2 linked regions of the Danio rerio genome follow. The main gene of each other region encodes a partner of the protein of the gene in region 2 in a complex. Links are inferred from orthologs where the notes say so. Each region holds a gene or a part of one and is shown on either strand. Other genes may lie near its edges. The genes, in order: pes and bop1.

Region 1 (3,829 bases), on a different chromosome or scaffold from region 2:
TTTGTGTGGAAAACATATGTTGGGCTGCCCCTGACCAAATATTTTTCCATGTTTGTGTTATAACATTCATTTGCTATCCTGTTACTTGTTCTGTAAACAAAGCTTTTTAACTTGTATTCAGCTAAATCTAAATATAAAAAAGTAGTAATCTGGTCAGGAACTTTTATTAATATTATTAATAAGTTAATTTATATAATCTGTTATAGATCATCTGTGCATCAATGACTATATGTAATTACTCTTATTTATATTTTTTAATTAAATTATTTACACGGGGCTTCAGTGTTAAGGCTTTTGGGAGGGCGTGGCTAAAGTTGAGGCGCGATCATCATAGCAGCATCAGCCAATGAAATTAGTTCGCAATCAGCTACTGCGTGAGCCTGAGTATTTGCATAAAGCGATCTGATTTGCTGGCGCTGTTGGTGCTTGAAAAGTTAATAAATTCCAAACTTTTGCGTAGACGGATCCACAATTCAGTTTGGCAACCCTTGACATCACCCATTCAAGGTGAATGGGAAGTGTTGAATCGGGCATTAGAGGGCAACGTTAACGTTAGATTTTATTTTATTACTATCTTTTTTTAATTAAACAAACAGCATTTCTCTTAAATGTCACCACTTTCACTTTTGATCAATTGAATGCCTCCCCAAAGAATGATTATTCTGGGTATTTTAGTCTGGTAAAATATTAAAATGTTAATAATAAACTTTCTTTTCAGCATTTACAAATTTAGCTTAATTAATTCACATTCCTTTGAAGTGTTTTGAGCCGCCAAATGATTAATGTCCTTCCTGTCGTGTTGTCTTTGTATACAGTCTCTAAAATAAGTTTGTTTTCCCAGGTATCCCACGTTCATTGATGCTCTCCGAGATGTGGACGATGCCCTTTCTATGTGTTTTCTGTTCTCTACATTCGCTCGTACTGGAAAATGCCACGTCCAGACAATTCAGCTGTGTCGGAGACTCAGTGTTGAGTGGATGAACTACATCATCTCCTCACGCTCCCTAAGAAAGGTACATTTAAATGGTTTGAATTATAATAATTGTTTTTAAATGGTCAGTCTCTTTAATCTTCATCTGGAGAGCCAGCTGTTGGAGTGTTTCAGTCACTTCAGGCTTTTTGCACTGGTGTGCTTTCAGTTTAAAAATGTTACTTTAGAATAAAAATCCTCAAGTAGAGTAAAAGCTCCCTGTTTAGGCTGGTGTTTTTACTACATTTGAGAATCTCAGGATTCAAGCTCATTGAGTGTCTGCATATTTTACCAGCATTCATTCTTGCCATCTACTGTACTAATCAGGGAATGATATACAGCTTATGGTCATACCACTGTTACCGTGCCTGATCTTGTCTGATCTCAGAAGATGAATATACGCAGGACATCCAGCGGCTATTGTTTTTTTAGTCGGTCTACCAAAATCTATCTACACCGTGCCCACCGGGCTACCTATGAGCAGCACCAGACAATGTTGTAGATTAATTTTGGTAGCCTGGCTGAAAAAAACAATAGACGGGATGTTGGGCCACCAAATTTTGCGAGCCCTGCCCTGACACGATAGTCCAGAAGATATGTCAGAGGGCATTTCTGGATAGCGTTTACAAACTAAAAATGAGTCTTCATCATTTTCAAGAAGCTCCATTTTCATAGATTGAAGAAAAGAAATCAAAACTGAAAAATCCTGATACTGGATTTTTGGTACCAATCGATACTAACATTTTAAAAACGCCCATTTCCTGCTAACATTTAAACGCTGTTGAAAGCGTTCAACAGAAATGACTTATTGGCCCTGAAGGTCATCAGTTCTGTGTGATATGCGAACTGTACTGAGTGTAAGCACAGGTATAGGGACACTGGAGCGTTTCAAAGTTCCGTCAATCAGCTGATTTGTCTGTAAGCTGACATTCGAGTGGTCCGCTGATAATTCTTTAGGTTTTTAACGGCTTTAAGAACATGGTCAACAGTGCTCAAATGTTGGAAATTGACATTTTTAAAACTTGTGTCGTTTAGTACCAAATTCCTAAATGTTTTAGATGATTAGGGTTGTCAAAATTCTGAAAGTAAAGCAGCGTTTCTATCCATTGAATCAAAGACAACAAAATCATTATCACTTTCTGATAAACTGGGGCCAAATATAAAAACTGAGGTAAAAGAAGCCACTTTGGACCTTTTTTCTTGCATAATAAATTAATCTAAATTTCTCAAAAGATGAATTTTAATTAATGCACATTTGCTTTTGGAGGCATGACATGTTCTTTGGGAGCACAGACAATCAAGACAGTTCTGGAAGTTATAATACTGAAGCATTTTGATCACCGACTTTGGCTAAGGGATTTTAGACTAAATAAAAAAACAATATTTCAGATTTTTTACAATATGGTCGGCTCGCTGGTTTATCTGTTAAATCAAAATCACATACGTTTTGTTGATGTGCATGTTGGAATTTATTCGGCATTTTTGTTTGTTGGATTTTTTTGCAATGTTCCAAAACGCACATAAAAATATATGGATGGAAACATAGCTAGTGAAAACCGTAAATGGGGTTTGTCAGATAATGAAGTAAATTACCACCACCCTTATTGCTCATTCACTGTGAAGGATCTGGGTTTTATTGTGGACGGTAGCCTAAAGCTAAATAAACAAATCAATTCTGTCGTTAGTTCCAGTTTTTTTTTTTGGACCTTCGAAGACTAAAAACCCTCTCTAGGCAGAATTAGTTTTGAGATTGTAATTCATTCTTTTATACAGTAGTCAATGTGATTTAAAACAAATTTGTCCTAAAACTTTTAGAGGTCCAGTGAAATTAAAATAATATTTTTCTGATGTTAGAATCAGTAATGTTTTTAGGATATCTATAACTTCACGGGACCTTTAATCAACACCCTATTTTTGTCTGAAGAACAATAAAAAATTTGATCCACCTCAAATATTGACTACTATGTCATGACAGATTGATTGCTACAATTTGTTGTGTTGTGAGCTGCCTCATAATCTGATCATAGCCTCAGACTTCAGCTGGTGACATTTGCTGGTCATATTAGAGTGCCAGAGGGATAAAATCGTTCGAGAAATTCAGCAACGATTCTGAGATTTTTAAAATGCATCGCCTTGAATAGATTCTGAGCTCAGCTTTAGCAGCAGATGGTGTGTTTTAACCTTTTTCTATCACCTTTGATTGATACTGTTTTCTTTTTTTTGTAGGTTTTTCTTTCCATTAAGGGTATTTACTATCAGGCAGAGGTTTTGGGACAGACCATCACATGGATCGTACCATATCAGTTTGCCCATAATGTAAGTATAACATATTTTTGAAAACATTTTTGTGGATTCTTCAGTATTCATTCAGTCAATGACCTATGGGTCAGACTTTCGTTCACCGTTTATCAACGAAACCTGGAAAACTGAGAAGGTAAATATGGTCATTTTTCCACAGGAGTAGCTGAAAATTGATGCTGCTTTGTAGCATTCCAAGAATACAGGCTATTATTCTGTTATTAGTACTTGCTTGGGTGGCTCAGGTTTTGTGTATTTCTGTCTTTTTATATATTTACATATTCACTATCATGTTGAGGACATGTTCTCTTTCTGTGGATTGTTAAGGTACCAGTTATGGGAAAAGCTCAATAAAAAATAAATTAAACCAAACAATACACACCCTACACATCTGCTGTTAACTAACTCATGGTAACATGTACAGCACCTCTAATGACTATTGTTATTTAATCACTGGTCATGGATCATTATCAATATTTCAGATGCTGTTGTCCTTCTGCAGATTATTTTATGATGACTATTACATTGAACGTACTCATCGTGTTCCTGTTTCTTCTTCTC
Region 2 (4,569 bases):
ATTTGCACATTTGGTTATTTATGAACTAAGTTACATTGTTTACCACGCTACTTTTACATATTCGGGTATCACCAGACATAGTTATGATACAAGATTAATTTTTTTTTAACAGTGAAATCACAATCTTGTGCCTTCATATGAATGGATGTACTGTTTAGGATTGAAGTAAAGTTGGTTTTATATTTGCACAGTCATTCATTTGAGTAGTCCCAGTATTGTTTACCACACTAATTTGAATATTCGGTCTGAAAATGCATTTAAGTATGACTATAAAACAACATTACTGCTATTTAATTGCCTGTGAACAACGTTGTACTTTGATAGTCATTGGCTGCTAAATGATTTCTATATTTATAATATGCAAATAATAGTTTTCTGCAATTGCATTGCTGAGGAGAAAGTTTGAATGTGTCAATATAAAACAAAATGTACATCAATCTGTTCAGGCCCAAAATAACGCATTAAATATCTTTGAAATATCTCTTTTAAACAGTATCATACGCCATTTATGTCTATTTCTCACACATTTTCTCTCATATTAAACTTATGTAGAGTATAATAAGTTCTTAGCTGTGTATAACGTTAGGTTAATATAGCTTATTGTTGTTTGTTTATTTTTAATGCGTGACTAGCAGCGTGGTCTGTCTGAAACACACAACATTGCGTCCTAGTATAATCCTCCCATTAAGACGAATGACAATAAATCTCGACTTGACTTGAATGTAACTGTAATCCAGGTCAGTAAACCGTCCTCAAAGCGAGACCCAGAATAGACTCACTGGGCTCCAGCAGATCAGCGGGTCCGTGTCCGGATCCTCCACCAGCGTCCAGAGTTTGGTCAGAAACGCAGGCACATTGTTCCCGGTGACCACCACTCCTCCGGGCCCCACACTGTGATACTCCATCACGGAGAGTTTAGTGATGATTTCTGACGGTAATTAGAACGCTGTAACGAGTCACTGACGAAGCGCGGAGTCACCCTCGAGGTGAGGCTTTACAGATTAAACCGTTCAAACGAGCCGATATAACTCTCATCACCCCTTGAAGAGTCCGGATCCTGCTTAAAAAGTGATCGTTACGATTCAATCGAATCGATTTGGTGTTTTAGATGATCCAGAATAAGTGGAAAATTCCATTAAATCCACATCGCGTAGTAACTGCGTAGAAAACAAGAAGCGTTGGGAGGCGTCGCGTTGTGATGACGTAGGCGCGACGGATGTTTAAAAATATATATTTTTTTTTAGATTAATATAACTAAATACGAAAAATAAAAACGAAGATAATGCTATTTGGATTATTTTTAACCACTTAAAATTGTTAATCTGTGCAAATTTGAGATTTTAAAACGGCACGTATTTTACGTTAAACTTTAACCTTTTGCATCAGACGCAGTTGTGTTAAAACGCAATGGATTCCATCATATGTTATTTTTAAAAGATAACTCATTTGAATCAAATACGGGCTGGGTACAATTTATAAAAAAGTACGCCAAACAACAAGTGGAATAAATAAATAAATCGAACGCGTCACTGTTTGACCTTTCACCTCTTCGATTCAAACCCACATGGTCGCATTTTCAGCATGCGTCCAACTCACAGCGGCACCATGAGCAAATTAAAGAATAAGAAACGACATTTAGAGGAGAATGAAGAGGAACAGGTATGATTCGATGCTGTGTTTATGTAGTGTTGTTCTGAAGTACTCACACAGTAGTTTGATTCTACTCGTTATATAAAAACACGCGTGTTTATATAGCGCGCGGTTGACTTGAGGTGCTCTCACTTTATGAATTTGAGATTATTCATGGATTTAAACTTATATTATACAATTTATGAGTGTCAATTATGTATCTTCTCACGGCTAAGATGTCGGCCGTGTTTATAAACGTAGTGTTGTGTTGTGCTGTTAAAAATATGACTACCAGTCTGAAGTTTGAAAGCATTTGATGTAATATATATCAAACTAGTCATTTAAAGTCCTGTAACTGCCTGCTCTACCAAATGGTTGACCATGTTTTGACCGTTTAAAATTATGACTGTTTTAAAATTATGACTGTTTTAAATAATGGTTTACACACACAGCATTGAAGGTTTGCTGAAAAACCAAACATAATTCTGTTGCACTACTACACTTGGTTTTGGTTTTATTGTTAAAAACAGCAATAAAGCATGTTAAATGAGAATCTGAAATATTTATGGCATATTTCAAAACATAAAGATCATCTAGAATTCATAAATGTTTTGTTTTGGTCATGTTTTTAAATAAATTGATCAGGTTTTTCATAGTAAGTGTATTAATTCTGGTGCTTTTACCATAAACTGACTTGTCTACCATTTGGTAGAGGATAATATTTTAGAAATTATGGGATCTGTTGATAAAAAATGTATTGAGTGTGTTAACTAGCGACATTAGGAGTTAAGAAATGCTATCCAAAGATGCTTTTCTTGGTGGCACATTAAAGGGTTAAAGCCTTAGTGATTGTCCTTCTATATAAATTTGATCACGTTGTAGTTTTTAATACATTTCTGTTTAAATATGCATGTCATTATACAGTAATTGGTGTTTTAACAGTGAATTTGTTTTCATTGAGGTAAAGTAGGTTTTTATATTTGCACATTGGGGCTTTCTGTTTAATAATATTATTTCAGAAAAGTATTCTTTGCCAACAGAGTATATGCACACAGACTTTTAATTTCAGTCAGCCAGCCAGCCCCAGGACTTTAGTTGTTAATTGTCACCCCATACAGAATCACCACATCTAAGATCTGATTTCTTTAAAAAATAAATAAAAAAATCAATAATCTTCACTGCCTGGTGGAGATACAATATAAAGTGGGTCTCAGACTAAACAAGAAGCACTGCATTAAATAATTTTTGTCTGTAAAATATAGAAACTAATTTTACCATAGTACCCCATTACATTTTTAATGGAATGACTGCGCTCGCCTGCTGCTATTGACAGTGCCTGCTGTCTCTCTTTACACTTTTTATAACAACCAAATGGATGCTTAAGTCTATTTAACCGATTATATTTGAATTACATTACAACATCGATGCTTTAAAAGGAGCCGTATGAAATTGAAAACAGTCACATAAAGCTTTCACCTGAAGTTCATCATTGGCTGAAAAACACTAGCTGTGCATATAGCCCAAACTAAATGGAGACATACAGCATTGTTAATATATAGCAGGGGTGTCAAACTCAATTCCTGGAGGGCCGAAGCCCTGCACAGTTTAGTTCCAACCCTGCTCCAACACACTTACCTGTAGGTTTCAAACAAGCCTGAAGGACTCAATTAGTTTGATCAGGTGTGTTTAATTAGGGTTGGAACTAAACTGTGCAGAGCTGCGGCCCTTTTGGAACTGAGTTTGACACCTGTGGTATATAGCTACTCAGAAAACTAGATTCTGTTCATCATGCAGCAATACGCTTCGTCACAGGCGCAGACTCACGGACGCATCACTGTATTTTGTACGATTCCTTAGACTGGTTATCTTTATATCGAAGGAGATATTTACATCCATACTCATTTATTTTAATTAAAGGCTCTCCTAGGTAAATCACCACCATATCTTTGTAATTTGTTAGCATTTCACATAAATAACCAACACACTAGATCTGGTTCATGTATTCATCTAACACCGTGGTTCTCAAACTTTTTTCATCAAGTACCACCTCAGAAAAAAATGGTCTTTCTAAGTACCACCAAAATGGCCAGTATTGAAATACAATAGCGTAGCAGGCCCAGTAAAGCAGCTACACCTCAGCACAGTTAAAAAAAAACGTGGCAGATTACCTCAGGAATATGAGCTATATGGCATATTATATAGATCATTTTTAATAATTGTTTACAAGTGTGTAGCATGTACATGACATATTTCATTCCTCCGGGTACCACTAGAAGGAAGCCTGCGTACCACTTGTGGTACATGTACAGTACCACAGTTTGAGAACCACTGGTCTAACAGTCCCAAAGGTATTGTCAGAATTTGGCAAATGTGCGTTTTCCTTTTCTGCTCCCAGGGCTTGGAATGACCTGCAAAATCAGCTCAGTCTTGAAACACTTCCGAGTCCGACTACTTTTAAACATCTTTTGTACAACATCTTAAAGGACACCTGTAATTGTTATTTATGCTCTAATCTTTTTATGAAGGGTGATTTTGTAATTTCGTGGTATTGTGTTTGTGATTTTTACGTAAAACATATGTGCTGTCTGCCATCTTGACCAGGTCTCACTGGAAGAAGAGACAGTACTGTCTTAATGTGATCTCCTGGCTAAATAAAGGAAATAATAATAGTAATATTAATTGTTCACAGTCAAATTAATAGTGCTAATGTTGTTTTAAAGTCATACTTGCATGCTATTTTAGACTGAATGTATAAAAGTAACATGATAAACGATATGGGGACCGTGTCACAAGTTGTAACTTAGTTCAATAATGAACAAATTTGGGAATATAAAACCAACTTTACCTCAATAAACAACAAGATGCCAAAACTGTGTCAGTCAAAAGCAACTTCACCTCATTTTTTCATGGTTTCTTCCTCAGTTGCCCATCTTTGATAAG

Evidence for each region.
Region 1: bop1 (region 2) and pes share a complex: the UniProt entries of both Homo sapiens proteins name them as parts of the peBoW complex. The link is inferred for Danio rerio from reciprocal best matches to the Homo sapiens genes BOP1 and PES1.

Annotation. Positions count from the first base shown.
Region 1 is NC_133180.1:13,521,804-13,525,632, forward strand, and holds part of pes (pescadillo), read left to right. Parts: intron 1-841; coding exon 842-1,013; intron 1,014-3,196; coding exon 3,197-3,286; intron 3,287-3,829. UniProt on the Homo sapiens protein: Component of the PeBoW complex, which is required for maturation of 28S and 5.8S ribosomal RNAs and formation of the 60S ribosome.
Region 2 is NC_133194.1:3,468,748-3,473,316, reverse strand, and holds the start of bop1 (ribosome biogenesis protein bop1), read left to right. Parts: upstream 1-1,551; 5' UTR 1,552-1,605; coding exon 1,606-1,659; intron 1,660-4,551; coding exon 4,552-4,569. Other genes in the region: hsf1 (heat shock factor protein 1), read right to left, coding at 780-905. UniProt on the Homo sapiens protein: Component of the PeBoW complex, which is required for maturation of 28S and 5.8S ribosomal RNAs and formation of the 60S ribosome.